2 linked regions of the Xenopus tropicalis genome follow. The protein of the gene in region 2 purifies or fractionates together with the protein of the main gene of each other region. This does not show direct contact. Links are inferred from orthologs where the notes say so. Each region holds a gene or a part of one and is shown on either strand. Other genes may lie near its edges.

Evidence for each region.
Region 1: the proteins of sugt1 (region 2) and rnf41 purify together in Homo sapiens (affinity purification with mass spectrometry; 3 studies listed by BioGRID and IntAct, with this or other methods). This does not show direct contact. The link is inferred for Xenopus tropicalis from reciprocal best matches to the Homo sapiens genes SUGT1 and RNF41.

The regions. Positions count from the first base shown.
Region 1 is NC_030678.2:137,453,922-137,457,747, reverse strand, and holds part of rnf41 (E3 ubiquitin-protein ligase NRDP1), read right to left. Parts: coding exon 3,756-3,826; intron 1,454-3,755; coding exon 1,318-1,453; intron 668-1,317; coding exon 564-667; intron 1-563. UniProt on the Homo sapiens protein: Acts as E3 ubiquitin-protein ligase and regulates the degradation of target proteins. Polyubiquitinates MYD88. Negatively regulates MYD88-dependent production of pro-inflammatory cytokines.
Region 2 is NC_030678.2:132,190,509-132,194,734, reverse strand, and holds the end of sugt1 (protein SGT1 homolog), read left to right. Parts: intron 1-2,975; coding exon 2,976-3,077; 3' UTR 3,078-3,426; downstream 3,427-4,226. UniProt on the Homo sapiens protein: May play a role in ubiquitination and subsequent proteasomal degradation of target proteins.

The sequences.
Region 1 (3,826 bases), about 5.3 Mb from region 2:
AAAAAATCTGCCTCTATTTAGTGCCACCATGTACTAATTAAACCCATCCATTTTGGCTTATCCACATGAGTTGCAGGGGGTTTTCAGGGAAGCCATACCAGTGCTCCTTAGGGTGAAGACACTTAGAGCAGCTACTTGTCACTACTAGTAGCAGCTACTTGTCGTGGCTACTAAAATGATAATTTACTAATAACTGTCTCTACGTGTGTCTTAGCAGAGGCAATTCTCAGTATTGTCAAGGTACTTTCTGGAGTTTAGTAGCTATGACAAGTAGCTGCTACTAGTAGCTCAGTGTGTCTTCACCCTTAAACACCATGTAACCTGAAACTAAAGCCACTATGAAACAAGACCATTTAAGTAAGGCGGATAAACCAGATATAGAAGATTATGGGCCTTTTGTCTCTGACCACACAGTCACAACCAGGGTCTTTTTTTAACTAAACCTAGACAGCTTTGTGGCATTCAATTTGCCAATATTTCAAACATTATGGCATATGAAGGGTTACTATGTTAGTTAGGTAATATGAAAGCCTAAACTGTGCATTTAATACTATAAAACTTACTCAAGGATTTCATTGTACTCTATAGTCTCTTCTAGGTTCTGTAGGTTTGGATTGGCGCTTCGGATGGCTCTCATATAGGCTTTCAGCAACTGGATATCCCTTTTCTGTGGATGTTAAAGAGGCACACATGGACACATTTGGTCAAAATAAAAAATAATTTATTTTATTTAACTTTAGGTATAACAAGGTTTTTATGCCTTTTTTAATATGGTTAAAAACAAAATCTGACAAAATACAGAAATGGTATGAATTAAAGTAAATCAAAATAAACAATACAAATGCTCAGCATGCTTTAATAGATAAGGACACTAAATATTTTCCATTACAATGTTGCTTAGTAATAAGGAAAGAAGTTGTCCTTGGCCAGAAGAGTGGCCTGTTTCTATAGCTGTGGAACTGTTCAAAATTGGGGGCAGATGAATGCAGAGAGAAAAACTTGGCTTGATCAATGGTCTTGAACTAAAACTGCTTTCTTCCACAGCTCTGTGTATCTGCAATGACAAGTACAGCTTCTGCCTGAGTGCAGGTACACAGAATGGAGATCAGCCCAAAAATGCCTGCATTCCCATTTTTCAGTCCAAACTCCGTTCTGCTCGGTGTACCTGTACTCAGACAGAAGCTGTGCCTGTCAGTGCAGATACATGGAGATGTGGAAGGGAATGGATCCTCTTTTCTCAGCCTGAGAGCAGCGTAGCCAATGCTCTGTGTGTCCTAGCCCTTAAAATTGTATACAAAATGAATGCAAAGACATTACCTGTTCAGAGAGCTGGTGCTTGCTCTCAGCAGCTGCTTTTTCCAGCTCCCCTATCCGTATCTGCTGTTGCTGCACCACAGAGCGCAGGTGTTTTATGCAGTTGTGGTTTGGTAGTTCATCTTTGGGCATTTCCAGTCTGGAAGATAGAATGATATACACAAACATTATTTAAACTGTCTGTAAATATCTGGCTGCCACCTGCTAAAAGTTCAAGCCCATAAGCAGCCTTTGCTATTTACTGCATCATTGGATGTTGCTACAAGCATCACTGAAGCACTGTGGCAGCATTCTGTTGTCCCCCAGCCAAGACTCCAATTTCCACAATGCCATTCTCTCTGATTAAAGGCCTGTAAAGAAGTAAAATGGCAGGGAAATGGAAGTCAACACTGCTGGACCTGAATACCTGTATCATTGAAACAGAAACCCAATATATCTTACCACTGTCACTCCCTTTGTAATTGAGTTTGAAATTAAAACCTAAAAGGTAGAAACTTTCTAATGTAAAGTTTGTATCTATATTGGGGTTTTAACCAAAACTTGCCTCAAAGACAGGAATTCAAAAATAAGCACCTGCTTTGTGGTCACTGGGAGAAGAGAATTGCACCACATACAAAGTTGCCACCTGCTCGTTAAATAAATAATAGAAATTAGAGATAAATAATTAAAATAAGCTGAAGTCACCTACTAAAAAAAAAAACAATGAGAGGATGTGTAGATTAGATGTAAAAGGTGGCTGCTCTGTTTTGTAATGGAAGTTCACCAGCCTGAACCCAGGGAGATTTCTCCAAAAAATCATTTTTGTACTCTAAATAAAGAAATTTTGCATGTGGAAAGATGAAAATTATCTTTGCTCTGAGTAAAGGTTTACACCAATGTAAAGGTAATTTACCAGTACTTCTTCTATTCACCTTTTAGTATACTGCTGATGTTATAGTAAATATTCATTTTTGGAGATAATACGCCAAATTTTAATAAAATATATATATATTTATTTATCTATTTATTTATTCCCTTTGTGTGTATTGGAACAGAACAAAAAAGGGAGGGAAAAAAAAGCAAATTGGACATAATGTCACACAAAACTCCAAAAATGGGCTGGACAAAATTATTGGCACCCTTTCAAAATTGTGGATAAATAAGATTGTTTCAAACATGTGATGCTCCTTTAAACTCACCTGGGAATAGTAACAGGTGTGGGCAATATAAAAATCACACCTGAAAACAGATAAAAAGAAGAGAAGTTGACTTAATCTTTGCATTGTGTGTCTGTGTGTGCCACACTAAGCATGGACAACAGAAAGAGGAGAAGAAAACTGTCTTGAGAACCAAAATTGTGGGAAAATATCAACAATCTCAAGGTTACAAAGTCCATCTCCAGAGATCTAGATTTGCCTTTGTCCACAGTGTGCAACATTATCAAGAAGTTTGCAACCCATGGCACTGTAGCTAATCTTCCTGGACGAGGACAGAAGAGAAAAATTGATGAAAGTTTGCAACGCAGGATAGTCGGGATGGTGGATAAGCAGCCCCAAACAAGTTCCGAAGAAATTCAAGCTGTCCTGCAGGCTCAGGGGGCATCAGTGTCAGCGCAAGCTATCAGTCGACATTTAAATGAAATGAAACGCTATGAGACATAAAAAAAGCAAGACTACAGTTTGCCAAAAAGTATTTCAATAAGCCACAATCCTTCTGGGAAAACGTCTTGTGGACAGATAAGACCAAGATAGAGCTTTTTGGTAAAGCACATCACCATCAATATGGTGGAGGTTCAATGATGTTTTGGGGTTGTTTTGCTGCCTCTGGCACTGGGTGCCTTGAATGTGTGCAAGGCATCATGAAATCTGAGGATTTCCAAAGGATTTTGGGTCGCACTGTAGAGCCCAGTGTCAGAAAGCTGGGTTTGCATATGTCAAAAAGCACCCAGAAATGGATGGCAACAAAGCACTGGAGAGTTCTGAAGTGGCCAGCAATGAGTCCAGATCTAAATCCCATTGAACATTTATGGAGAGATCTTAAAATTGCTGTTGGGAAAAGGCGCCCTTCCAATAAGAGAGAACTGGAGCAGTTTGCAAAGGAAGAGTGGTCCAAAATTCCCATTGAGAGGTGCAAGAAGCTTATTGATGGTTATAGGAAGCTACTGATTTCAGTTATTTTTTCCAAAGGGTGTGCAACCAAATATTAAGTTAAGGGTGCCAATAATTTTGTCCAGCCCATTTTTGGAGTTTTTTGTGACATTATGTCTAATTTGCTTTTTTACCTCCCTTTTTTGTTCTGTTCCAATACACACAAAGGCAATAAACATGTGTATAGCAAAACATGTGTTACTGCAATACTTTTCAGTGAGAAATACTTGATTTTCTGGAAAAACTTCTGGGGTGCCAACAATTTTGGCCATATATATTATATATATGCATATGCAATAGAATATAACTACTTACCCACAACCCTGCTCACATGTCACCGGTCGCTTTGGATTATGTTCACAGTCACTAAGGTGAGACATGAGGTT
Region 2 (4,226 bases):
TCAGTACACATTAATAGGAAAATGATATCCTTTCTCAGATATGGTGTATTGCTCCTTTCAGAGGGAGAACCAACAAATGTACAGTAAATGCATGTATCTGGATTACATGAAGGCTCATGTGGGAAGAGAAGAAGAGATATATATATATTTATGTTTGTCACCGCTGCTCTATTTTAGACATTTTAAAGATTATTATTGGGCTCATGTTCATAACTGTGGATTATCTATTTAAATGCAGTGACACCATGAGGAACCTGGGTATGTAAGAATTTGCACCTACTATTGGGGCATCCCACACAGGCTGCTTCTTTACAACAACTGACCAATTGGCAAAGAGAAAGATGTGGTATAAGATTTTTTTTACCCCTGGAAATTCTTGCTCTTCCCCCAGAATTGCAGAGTCTTTATGTATCTTTATGTATACAATACAAACTGTATATTATACTCAAGGGAAGTAAGAACAATTGAGTGTAATTAGTGAAATTAAAACTCCATTATTTTCAGTGTGTACATTTGGGCTGTAGTTAAAGTAGTGGTTCACCTTTATTTTAACTTTTATTTTGGTATAGAATGGCCAATTCTAAGTGACCTTTCAATTGGTCTTCATTATTTGTTATAGTTTTTGAATTATTTGTCACCATCTTTCAACTCTTTGCAGTTTTTAAATGGGGGTCACTGAAAAAACTATTGCTCTGTGAGGCTCCAGTTTTATGGTTATTGTTACTTGTAACTTTCTTTTCTATTCAGTCCCTCTTTTATTCATCCAAACCACCCCCTGGTTGCTAAGGTAACTTGGACCCTAGCAACCAAAATAGCTGCTGAAACGCCAAACTGGAGAGCTACTGAACTGCGCCTAATGATGCAGGCAGGACCTCGAACCTACCATCAACTCCTGACTGTAATGTAGCTCCAGGGTTCCCTTTGTGCCCAGCGTCAATAGGCACATTTAATTTACACACAAAAAATCGAGCGCAAGTGTCACTCACATGTGGAACACAGGAATGGCAGCAGGCAGACTTCCTTGTGATTGCATCTACTCTGTGACAAAATGCACACATAGTTGCGTTCATTTTGGTGAATCTGGCGCAATTGCACCCTTGGGGACTACATTGGCATTGGAATTCTGGGGCAAAAAACCTGTGCTGTGGGGAGAAAAACCATGGCAATTGCACTTTGAAAACTGCACTCACAGTTGTAAACGAGCCCTGTACTCTTTGGATCAAATTAAGCATAAATCCTTTGCTACCTCCTTAGTTACTAGCAGTCATAGTAATGCCTTCCCATTGTCCTGTACAATCCCCCACCCCCAGGAGCCCACTATCAACCCTGGCAGTGGGTATTCAAGAGCCCAAAGATTAAGCTGCTCCCTGTCATTGCCTACTGGCCATTACCCCCATTACTGTGGGACCCTGTAAGCTGCTCACATGTTATTTATATTGTGCCACTCACAATATTTGCAGCATTTGGGAACTGTTCCCTCACACTCAACCTGCTCATCAAGATCTTATATACCTGTTTAGCCCTGCCTTTATGAGTAGATTGAATAAACCTGTTACATACTAGCAGCTGCTTCTGTTAGATATTAGCTCCTAAGGAATGACACTTCCATGTAATTTTGCCCTGGCCAGTAGAGTTCAGCCGAAGGGGTGTGCCATGGCCCTTATGGCAGCTTGAAATCATTTAAAGGAAAAATAAACCCTAAAAATGAATATGGCACAAGATTCGGGGCTACTGGAGGCATCTAATGAGGCACAGATTGTCACTTGGGCTGTACAAAAGCTTTGTTGTCATATTCTTTTCTCCCATCAGAGAACATAAATGTATTTGCAAATAATACTTCACTCTTGCTATTCATTTTGTCCCGTGTGTAATGGTTGTGTGTGTGTGTGTGTGTGTATATATATATAAATATATATATATATATAATTCCCTCTATGTTCCCAATCTTTTGCTGTTTCTCCTATAATAGAATAGCATTGAACATAATTAGAACCAATTTTGATTTTATAAAGGTTGAGATAAAATACAATTTATGTGTTACATTTATTTATGTTCTCCCTTCTGTGTTTTATCATCTTGATTTCATTCTGTACTGACAAATCCTATGGTACCTATCGGTTTCATAAGAGGAAGGAAGGCAAAATGATGTGTGTGGCTCATAAAAACTGAAGGAAATGAATTTCGTACTTGAAATACAGGTTTTCCCAGGACTGCAATTTTAGCAGCTTCTGAATTGAAAAATGACTGATGCAGAAAAGAAAATTAACATAATCTTTCTGTGCAATGAAATCCTGCTAGCTCTGTTTAATGAAAATCCAATGTGACTAATAACCATTAAAGAGGGCTTCATTTTTCCCATCATGCTCCTCAAGACTGTATATTTATTCAATGGAAAACAACTTTCTATCAGGTAGAGGAGTTGTTTCCAGTTAGATGTAGTTCTGGCACTGGGAGCAGCTAGGGGGGCGCCTTCAAAATGTCGTACATTAAACTCACACTCGCTTAGGGAATTCTTAAACTCTACTCATGTCCTGAGTCCGTATTCAGACACACTAACCCCATAGTAGTCAGTGAGATCAGTAATAAAGCTAATAATCTCTCAAAAGAGAGAGGCTGCATCTTGCCAGATGGTCTCAGATATTTCCATTTATCTGACTAGTTAAACAGTCCCTATAGCTCCATGTTTTATCTTCCTTTTCCTTACAACATGTAAAATCTCTATTTTATGCTTTTCTCTGTTTTGTTGTTTAAACATTGATTTTTTGCAATGTTCAACTGCCGTTATGTCTTAGGGTCCTTCCTTATTACACCCATTGCCCTCCTGCAGTGTTACATGCCTCTGACGAGACCAGAGGAATGGCTTAGCGCTTCAGCAGGAGGGGGGGCATTAAGGCTTTTATGAGTTTATACCTCACACCTCATAGTGTGAAAGGACAAGTTAGATTTGGCATTGACAGTCACCTTTTCTTTTACAGATGGAGTCAGGAGGAACCGTGCTGAGCACCAACTGGACAGATGTGGGCAAGAAGAAAGTAGACGTAAATCCCCCAGATGATATGGAATGGAAACAATACTAGTTATCCTGCTGCAGTCCGTACGTTTATTGAAGCAGTCTGATGCACAACAAGCTGATGAGACATCACTCCTTACCTTTTGCGCCCTTTCTTTTCCCAGAATGCTAATTGTTTGCTGCTTCCATTAAATGTTGCACAAAGTGAATGAAATGACAAGCGAGCCTAATCCTTTATTCCTGTTTTGTTAGGAGCCAGCCCTGTAGTATGTATATAGTGATTTCTGATGCACATTCACTCAGATAACTTATTGGCCGGAGGTGCAGCTCTCCTGTCAGCTTGTTGGAAATCTTTCTCACTGACCCACTCTTGGCCTTTTTATCAACTGCAAATTATAAATATACTTTTTCAATGATTTGTTGGTGCTTTATTGATACAAAGGTGCTGAAGATGCTGCCTGCACTCTGTCGCACACATGTGGGGTTAGAGGCGTATGTGTTAGTAATGTGAATGGCTGTTGTGTTTCATTTGCTTGTCCTGCTGGAGGCACGATGGCTGGCTGACGTGACTGCAATTATTCACCATAGGAGAGGCACAGTCCCTATACATCCTTTGTTTGTCAGAGAATACGCTAATGTTGATGAAAAGACCAACCAAATGCTGCCACCAACAAAGTATTACAATCTATGGCAGTATTCTGGTCATTGTGCAAGATCATGCTCTGGGCAAGCTGACGCCATTTAGATGTTTTTGAATACTCTGTTTAGATTAGGGCCAATAGTTCAGTAACATGTCAAGGACTAATTGGTTCCCATACTTATATAATTAGCTACTATTTAAATGCTCACCATGATATTTCATAAACTAAAATAAGCAGGGGCTAGTTAGACAGTAATAGTAGGGCAAGCACAAGATAAGGCCCAATAGCACATTATTAGTAAACCCCACTTCTATGTAAGGCCCTACCTGCCAGTTAAATAGCATATTATCAGTAAGCCCAGTTTTAAAAGCACAAGCCTAGTGCACACTTGTCAGTCAGTAGCTGATCTGTCTTCTGTCAGTGATCAACTTTCCTTAATGGGGATGCTGGGCTAGTACATGAGCACCTATAGGAGTCTTCCCACTTGGTTTCTCATTCCTTCCTGGTAATTATTTTTCTAAGGGGGTGATTTATCAACGGTCGAGTTTAATTTTTTTGCCTGATTCAATGTTTTT